Linked DNA regions of Xenopus tropicalis. The protein of the gene in region 2 purifies or fractionates together with the protein of the main gene of each other region. This does not show direct contact. Links are inferred from orthologs where the notes say so. Each region holds a gene or a part of one and is shown on either strand. Other genes may lie near its edges.

Region 1 (4,583 bases), on a different chromosome or scaffold from region 2:
GTTATACATACAATTCTAGATCAAAGTTTGGCTAGCAGTATAGCAGATGTATGGTGCTCAAGAAAGTAAGTGGAAAATGTTTTTTATTTATTTGGTTTCTTATATCCATTGTGTCAGCAGGTACCAAGGGTTAGGGTATGTCGCTAACAATCTGAAGGAAGGAAACCATAAAAACGCCCACTTTCTCCTGCTGCAGATTATACAGGCAAGCAGAGACAGGACGAAAAGTATCACAATATCTAGCCTACTTAAAGGGGCTGTTCAACTTTGAGTTATCTTTTAGTAACTGTTAGTTATTTTTTATTATTTGTAGTTTAATTATTTCAGTTTTTGCTTAGCAGCCCTGTTTGGAGTTTTAGCAGCTATTTGGTTGCTACAATTGAAATTACCTTAGCAACCAGGGTGTGGTTTGAATGAATGAAAGACTAAGGAGACTAGGAGAGGACTTGAATAGAAAAATAAATACTAAAAAAGTAGCAATAACAATTAAACTGAAGTTTCACAAAGCAATAGTTTTTTGGCTGTGGGGATCAGTGACCCCTGTTTAAAATCTGCAAAGAGTTAGAAGTAGGAGACAAATAATTAAAAAACTATACATAATAAATAATGAAGACCAATTGAAAAGTTGCTCTGAAGTGGCCGCTCTATAACATACTAAAAGTTAACTTAAAAGGTAAACCACCCCTTTAAACACTAAGTGAGAAAGTACATTACTTTTTTTCACATTTTGTCAGAGCAGACCAACAAGAATTTCTGGTGTCTATAATATAAATCTGCTAAACTGAACTCCAATTCCTATATGCCCCTGAGGCCTAAAGAAAGCTATATATTGACCTTATATTTTTCCATGATAGTTGGCTTACCCTAGCAAAATATTTATTTTATTCCTAATTTTTATTGGCAAAAAGAAAAGAAATTTGGCAGACCTACAAAAACTTTCAGATCCATCTGGATAAAAGGTCAATGGTCAGAGCTAAAAATGCAAAAGCAAAGATCTGATTGGTTGCTATAATTAAGCCCATTGAACAGTTTAGAACCTGTTAGTAGTTTATCTAGGAGTTCTTGGCCTCTTGGCGACTGACATTGTTTGCAGTGTATTTTTAGGCATTTTGTTTCAACAATAGAAGCACATTTTCAGACAAAAAAAAGTCTCATTTCATATTGACCTTAGTCATTTCACAAAAACAAAATATATTTAGTAACTGAAAACTGCTCAGCGCTTACCCCTTATCAGAAGTACATACAGATGAAAAGTAAATAATAAGATAGAACAGGAATTATAGCATCCCTTCAAATTAAATTTGTTTAATCTCCCCCAAGATGTCACAAAGCTTGGATATTCGTAAAGGGTCACGAGAATGCTTTTATATTATGAGTTGTTAAGGGTACTGTTTGATTTATCAATAGCATTAACTTTATACAAAGAAAGAAGGCTCTATCTAATGCATGTAAAGTGGTATAAATGAAAATTTACAAAAGAGAGGCCACTAAGTTCTCAATTTTTCTGCAAGAAAGTGCACCACCATTTGCCTTCTCTGCTCTAGACCAAAAGCCTGTGCATATAGGCCAAAAACAATACAAAATGTATTTAATCTCACAGTAGCCCTGTTGGAAAAAACTTGTGACTTTAACAGAAAAACTCCAAAAGGTAACACTGATATTAATATTATAAGAGATATATGGCCTATCCGAATTTCTAAAACAATGGAACTCTAAAAAGTATACAGGTATAGCACCCATTATCCAGAATGCTCGGGACCAAGGGTATTCCAGATAAGGGGTCTTTCTGTAATTTGGATCTCCATACCTTAAGTCTACTAAAGAACAAATAAAACATTAATTTTACCCTATGTGATTGTTTTACATCCAATAAGGATTATTTATATCTTAGTTGGGATCAAGTACAAGATACTGTTTTATTACTACAGAGAAAAAGGATATCAGTTTTAAAATTTTGAATTATTTGATTAAAATGGAGTCTATGGGAGACGGGCATTCCGTAATTCGGGGCTTTCTGGATAATGGGTTTCCGGATAAGGGATCCCATACCTTTATATGACTTAACAATTTACATGACAAAAATACATGTTAGAAAGAAAAGCGATATATCAAACAAAAGGGCCACTACTTTGATTGCATTTATACAGCACTGATAACCTCTGAAATGCTGTGGAAAAGTGTAACCACCATTTACATTAGTCCCTGCCCCAGAGAAGCTTGCAATCTAGGGTCGCTACCACATTCACACAAACTAGGGTCAGTTTTATCGGAATCCAATTAACCTGCCTGTATGTTATCAAAGTGTGGGAGATGGTAGAGTACATGGAAGAAACCCCAAGCAGATACAAGGAGAACTTTTCACACTGTCACAGTAGTTTTGTCACCAAGGAAAAAAAAAAACCAAAACGCCTTTCTTATTACCTTCAGAAGTACAAAGAACTCAAATATTCTGCGAAAGGAAGGGGGGAACAGTCTTGCGTAGGTCACAGCCATCTTGAAGAACAATGCATGGAAGAGACGATCTCGAACATTAATCAAGGGATTCTGATTCAGGTTAGGAGTTCGAACACGGTTGCCATTAGCGTTATTGAGAGGAATATTACCCTGGTTCTCAGACATCTTGATGATGGTTTGGGGGTAAGCAAAGGTGCCTGTACACAAAGCAAAAGTCATCCTTATCACATATGTCCAAGCAATAATAAACACACATGGTGTATGTGTACACGTAACCTAGACGGATATATTTATAAATAAAACGCACAGACATCAATGTTAATGTGCGGTGAGATTATCAATGTGGGTGCAGGGTAGACTTATTTCTTTCCATATGGCTGCACAAGGATATCACAGTGTATTGACTTATTTTCTATGGCTAAAGACAAGGACATGCGTTTATAAACCTGTGCTAAGGCCATTTAGGGGCAGTACAGTTATACTTACTGTACTTTATCGCATACCGCCCAAAAGTCCCACTTTTGCCGGGACAATCCCGGTCTTCTTAGCAAAGTCCGCAGTCCCGGTTCGCTGTTTAAAAGTCCCGCAGCGCCGTTAACGTCTAGCTCCTTGACTCCTGCCGGACAGCTAATCCAGACGTCACAAGCCTCATCTCGCGATAACGGTGACGTCACGGTGAACGTATATATAAGCGTACGGACGCTATACGTTGTCTCCGTGGGGGAGTGACAGGCTAGGTCGAGGTGGTTTAGTGTCTGGCAACTACAAACAGTAAGGCGCTATGCGCTGTGCTGGCTCAAGCAATAGGGGGCCGGTGGTTCACAATTTTTATTTTCTCTTCCGCTCTTACAAGTTATACGTATCAATAGTTTATCAGAAGTCTTTTTGTTTTGCCCCCAGTATCTTCTATCAGAAAGTTAAAAAAAAACTTTTTTGAGAGCAAAATATACTTACTGTTTTTTGGGTTTTTTTGCTGCGCTCACATTATCTTCTTTTCCAGGGCAAATACATGTAAACACCAAAAACAAAACCATTGCAACAAATCCATTTGTTAATCGCCTTGTGCCAGGATGCAAAAAAAATAATCTTTTTTTTTTTCTTTGACTTGCATTTTATTTTTTCTCTGGTGTTTACTGGCAATCAGTGTTGGACTGGGATGCCAGGGGCCCACCAGAAAACCTTAGCCCATGGGCCCACGCTCTCCAAACTATTTTTCACCCATTTCTTACTCAGTCTCTATATTTTCATAGTGTTTTTTATCTTTACATACTATAATCTATTCTATATATTTAGTTGCTTTGTTCCCATAGAAAAATAAGCAATGACCATGAATTAGGCCAAATAGCTAGAAGCTGGGGGGCCCACTGGCACCTGGGCCCACCGGGAATTTTCCTGGTATCCCTGTGGGCCAGCCCGAGACTGCTGGCAATACTTGCTTTCGCTCCAAATATTTGACCAAAAAGTAATAAACATTTTTTCTCTGCTCAAAGCTTTGATTTGTGCAGTGAACAAGTCACCTTATTCCTGTTTGCCAACAATACACACAGCCACTAGATCCACTACTACTGTAGCAGCAGAGATTTTATGTTTAAAAGGGACGTGTGAAAAACAATATCGTGCCAACAAATTGTACTCATCTAAATATAAAGGAAATGCTTTAAAAAAAGTAGTGTTTCGGTCGGAAACTTTGGACGACTACAGGCTTCAGGAGTGCGCATGCGCATAAACGGCAGAGCGAGAAGACAACGGTGGGCGTCCCCGCACCGGAGGAGGCGGCGGGCGTCCCCGCCGCCCCACTAGACTACCAGGTATTGTTACATTCTTGTCTGTGGGATGGCATTTCGAGATTAGTCACCCACAATAGCGAAGATTTATCGGGGGCAAGTAAACTCGTCGTGTGCTACCTCCCTTAGTGTGTACTATGGAGAACGAAGCCAGTATTGCTGGTAGATCATCAGTACCTGATTTCCAATTTTTAAAAGAGTCTTTGGAGGAGCAAATTTTATTGACAGTAACTGGCCAACTAAATACATTACCCACTATTTTTATCTTTTATGATACCATCTAACTCTGTTGGTGATGAGATGCATATTATAGTACAGAGCAGATGAGCCCTTTTAAATATACAT
Region 2 (3,822 bases):
CCCAAATTAGGGGTGGGGCTTACAGGAAACTGGGTGCGGTTTCAGTCACAATGGCTCCTGTACCAAGGGGCGGCCATTTTAAACCCCATCAAGGAGCATAGGCAAAGCGTCCCCCCTAATGGAACCGTCAGCCTCACTGGATCGCTGTAACCTGGAACATATAATATTGGTGCCAATTTTGGGGCTCAGTTCCCTTAGGTACAAATGGACCCATCGACAGTCTTCACATCGCTGGCACTTGCCCGCAGAAACTGGTTGCCCACATCCATGCCAATCACTGCTAGCCCCGCCCCCCACATGTTCCTTACTGAGGGGGGTCAATGTGTCTCCATAAAAACATTATTTAGAAGGTAAGAACTTGATTCACATGTATGTGTAGCGCCACCTGTAGGTGCCAAACAGGAAGTGCAAGGTGCCCACGTTGTATCTATTGGCCGCCCCAAGGAGCCCACTGGGGGGCTGGGTAAAGGCTATTGGCTCAATACCTACCAGGCCACTTGCCACTTGGGAAGCCATTGAGTAGACCTTCTTCTCGGTGATATTATAGAGAGGATCCTTAGCAGCGAGGTTGCCCTGTGGGGGGTGAAATGGAGAATGTAAAGGAAAATGACCCCCACAACTACATACGCACATACATTTCCCAAACCTGGTATATTGTGGGCCCTGTGTGGCATTGTGGGTATCTGTGACTCACCTGGGGGTACAATGTGGCCCTTTAATTGCCCATGAGTGGATCCATTCAGCATGTACCCCAACAGGGCAGTTACTACATTAACCCACATCCCAAAATACCTACATGTTTTAGGGAATATATTTGGGGGAGTCGGTATTTGGGGGAGTCGGTATTTGGGGGAGTCGGTATTTGGGGGAGTCGGTCTGGGTACCTCACGGGATCTCCAGAGAAAGTGAAGCAGATTCCCAAGGTTCATGGCTTTCAGGATGATGCACACTGGGCTCAAGGAGGTTCTACACCAATACATTTTCAGCAGGTTGTCGTGGTTACAGACCCGAGAGTAAAACCGGATGAGATCAATAAAATCCTGAGCTTCTCCGGGACTGCAGTTCTCTTTGGGACAGAACCAAGATACAAGAGGATAAAGGTTCTACAGAGACTGACAGTGGGTGAAGGTTCTACAGAGACTGACAGTGGGTGAAGGTTCTACAGAGACTGACAGTGGGTGAAGGTTCTACAGAGACTGACAGTGGATGAAGGTTCTACAGAGACTGACAGTGGGTGAAGGTTCTACAGAGACTGACAGTGAATGAAGGTTCTACAGAGACTGACAGTGGGTGAAGGTTCTACAGAGACTGACAGTGGGTGAAGGTTCTACAGAGACTGACAGTGGGTGAAGGTTCTACAGAGACTGACAGTGGGTGAAGGTTCTACAGAGACTGGCAGTGGATGAAGGTTCTACAGAGACTGACAGTGGGTGAAGGTTCTACAGAGACTGGCAGTGAGTGAAGGTTCTACAGAGATTGACAGTGGGTGAAGGTTCTACAGAGACTGACAGTAGGTGAAGGTTCTACAGAGACTGGCAGTGGATGAAGGTTCTACAGAGACTGACAGTGGGTGAAGGTTCTACAGAGACTGGCAGTGAGTGAAGGTTCTACAGAGATTGACAGTGGGTGAAGGTTCTACAGAGACTGACAGTGGGTGAAGGTTCTACAGAGACTGACAGTGGATGAAGGTTCTACAGAGACTGACAGTGGGTGAAGGTTCTACAGAGACTGACAGTGGGTGAAGGTTCTACAGAGACTGACAGTGGGTGAAGGTTCTACAGAGACTGACAGTGGGTGAAGGTTCTACAGAGACTGACAGTGGGTGAAGGTTCTAGAGACACTGACAGTGGATGAAGGTTCTACAGAGATTGACAGTGGGTGAAGGTTCTACAGAGACTGACAGTGAGAGAAGGTTCTACAGAGACTGACAGTGGGTGAAGGTTCTAGAGACACTGACAGTGGATGAAGGTTCTACAGAGACTGGCAGTGAGTGAAGGTTCTACAGAGATTGACAGTGGGTGAAGGTTCTACAGAGACTGACAGTGGATGAAGGTTCTACAGAGACTGACAGTGGGTGAAGGTTCTACAGAGACTGACAGTGAGAGAAGGTTCTACAGAGACTGACAGTGGGTGAAGGTTCTACAGAGACTGACAGTGGGTGAAGGTTCTACAGAGACTGACAGTGGGTGAAGGTTCTACAGAGACTGACAGTGGATGATGGTTCTACAGAGACTGACAGTGGATGAAGGTTCTACAGAGACTGGCAGTGGATGAAGGTTCTACAGAGACTGACAGTGGGTGAAGGTTCTACAGAGACTGGCAGTGAGTGAAGGTTCTACAGAGACTGACAGTGGATGAAGGTTCTACAGAGACTGACAGTGGATGAAGGTTCTACAGAGACTGACAGTGGATGAAGGTTCTACAGAGACTGACAGTGGATGAAGGTTCTACAGAGACTGACAGTGGGTGAAGGTTCTACAGAGACTGACAGTGGGTGAAGGTTCTACAGAGACTGACAGTGGGTGAAGGTTCTACAGAGACTGACAGTGGATGAAGGTTCTACAGAGACTGACAGTGGATGAAGGTTCTACAGAGACTGACAGTGGATGAAGGTTCTACAGAGACTGACAGTGGGTGAAGGTTCTACAGAGACTGACAGTGGGTGAAGGTTCTACAGAGACTGACAGTGGGTGAAGGTTCTTCAGAGACTGACAGTGGGTGAAGGTTCTACAGAGACTGACAATGGGTGAAGGTTCTACAGAGACTGACAATGGGTGAAGGTTCTACAGAGACTGACAGTGGGTGAAGGTTCTACAGAGACTGACAGTGGGTGAAGGTTCTACAGAGACTGACAGTGGGTGAAGGTTCTACAGAGACTGACAGTGGGTGAAGGTTCTACAGAGACTGACAGTGGGTGAAGGTTCTACAGAGACTGACAGTGGGTGAAGGTTCTACAGAGACTGACAGTGGGTGAAGGTTCTACAGAGACTGACAGTGGGTGAAGGTTCTACAGAGACTGACAGTGGGTGAAGGTTCTACAGAGACTGACAGTGGGTGAAGGTTCTACAGAGACTGACAGTGGATAAAGGTTCTACAGAGACTGAGAGTGGGTGAAGGTTCTACTGGACTGGTATCTCCTACCCTGCTTGTTGGTTATTTACCCTTTACACTCACCTGAAAGCTCCTTGATGATGACCCTGTGCCTGACATTGGGTTCCCCCGGTTCATACAGACACGCGCCACTGATGCGCCCAAACTGACCGGGGCAAATTTTAACCACATCCTGGATTGTCCACCCATCTGGCAGCTCCCACCTCTGCAGTTCAGTGTCCGGGAACCCGAGAGTATTCTCATAGACTGCGGCAGCATTGACGGCCCATTCTCCATAGCCCTCACCTGCTGGAAACAGATCCTGACTCCACTACTGCCCATACAGTGTGTGAGAGTGAGTGTGTGAGAATGAGTGAGTGCATGAGTGAGTGTATGAGCGAGTGTGTGTGTAAGAGTGTGTGAGTAAGTGTGTGAGAGTGAGCGTGTGCGTGAGAGTGAGTGTGTGAGCGAGTGTGTGTGTAAGTGTGTGAGTGAGTGAGTGAGTGAGTGAGTGTAATGAGTGAGTGTGAGTATAATGAGTGAGTGAGTGTGTGAGTGTAAGTGTGAGTATAATGAGTGAGTGTGTGAGTGTGAGTATAATGAGTGTGTGAGTGTAAGTATAATGAGTGAGTGAGTGTAAGTGTGAGTATAATGAGTGTGTGAGTGTAAGTGTGAGTATAATGAGTGAGTGAGTGTAAGTGTGAGTATAATGAGTGAGTGTGTGAGTGTAAG

Evidence for each region.
Region 1: the proteins of tyrosine-protein kinase STYK1-like (region 2) and tmem259 purify together in Homo sapiens (affinity purification with mass spectrometry; 3 studies listed by BioGRID and IntAct, with this or other methods). This does not show direct contact. The link is inferred for Xenopus tropicalis from reciprocal best matches to the Homo sapiens genes STYK1 and TMEM259.

What each region holds. Positions count from the first base shown.
Region 1 is NC_030677.2:100,354,097-100,358,679, reverse strand, and holds the start of tmem259 (membralin), read right to left. Parts: upstream 3,072-4,583; 5' UTR 2,941-3,071; intron 2,652-2,940; 5' UTR 2,620-2,651; coding exon 2,422-2,619; intron 1-2,421. UniProt on the Homo sapiens protein: May have a role in the ERAD pathway required for clearance of misfolded proteins in the endoplasmic reticulum (ER). Promotes survival of motor neurons, probably by protecting against ER stress.
Region 2 is NC_030683.2:133,063,393-133,067,214, reverse strand, and holds part of tyrosine-protein kinase STYK1-like, read right to left. Parts: intron 3,400-3,822; coding exon 3,175-3,399; intron 1,067-3,174; coding exon 885-1,066; intron 574-884; coding exon 490-573; intron 1-489. UniProt on the Homo sapiens protein: Probable tyrosine protein-kinase, which has strong transforming capabilities on a variety of cell lines. When overexpressed, it can also induce tumor cell invasion as well as metastasis in distant organs.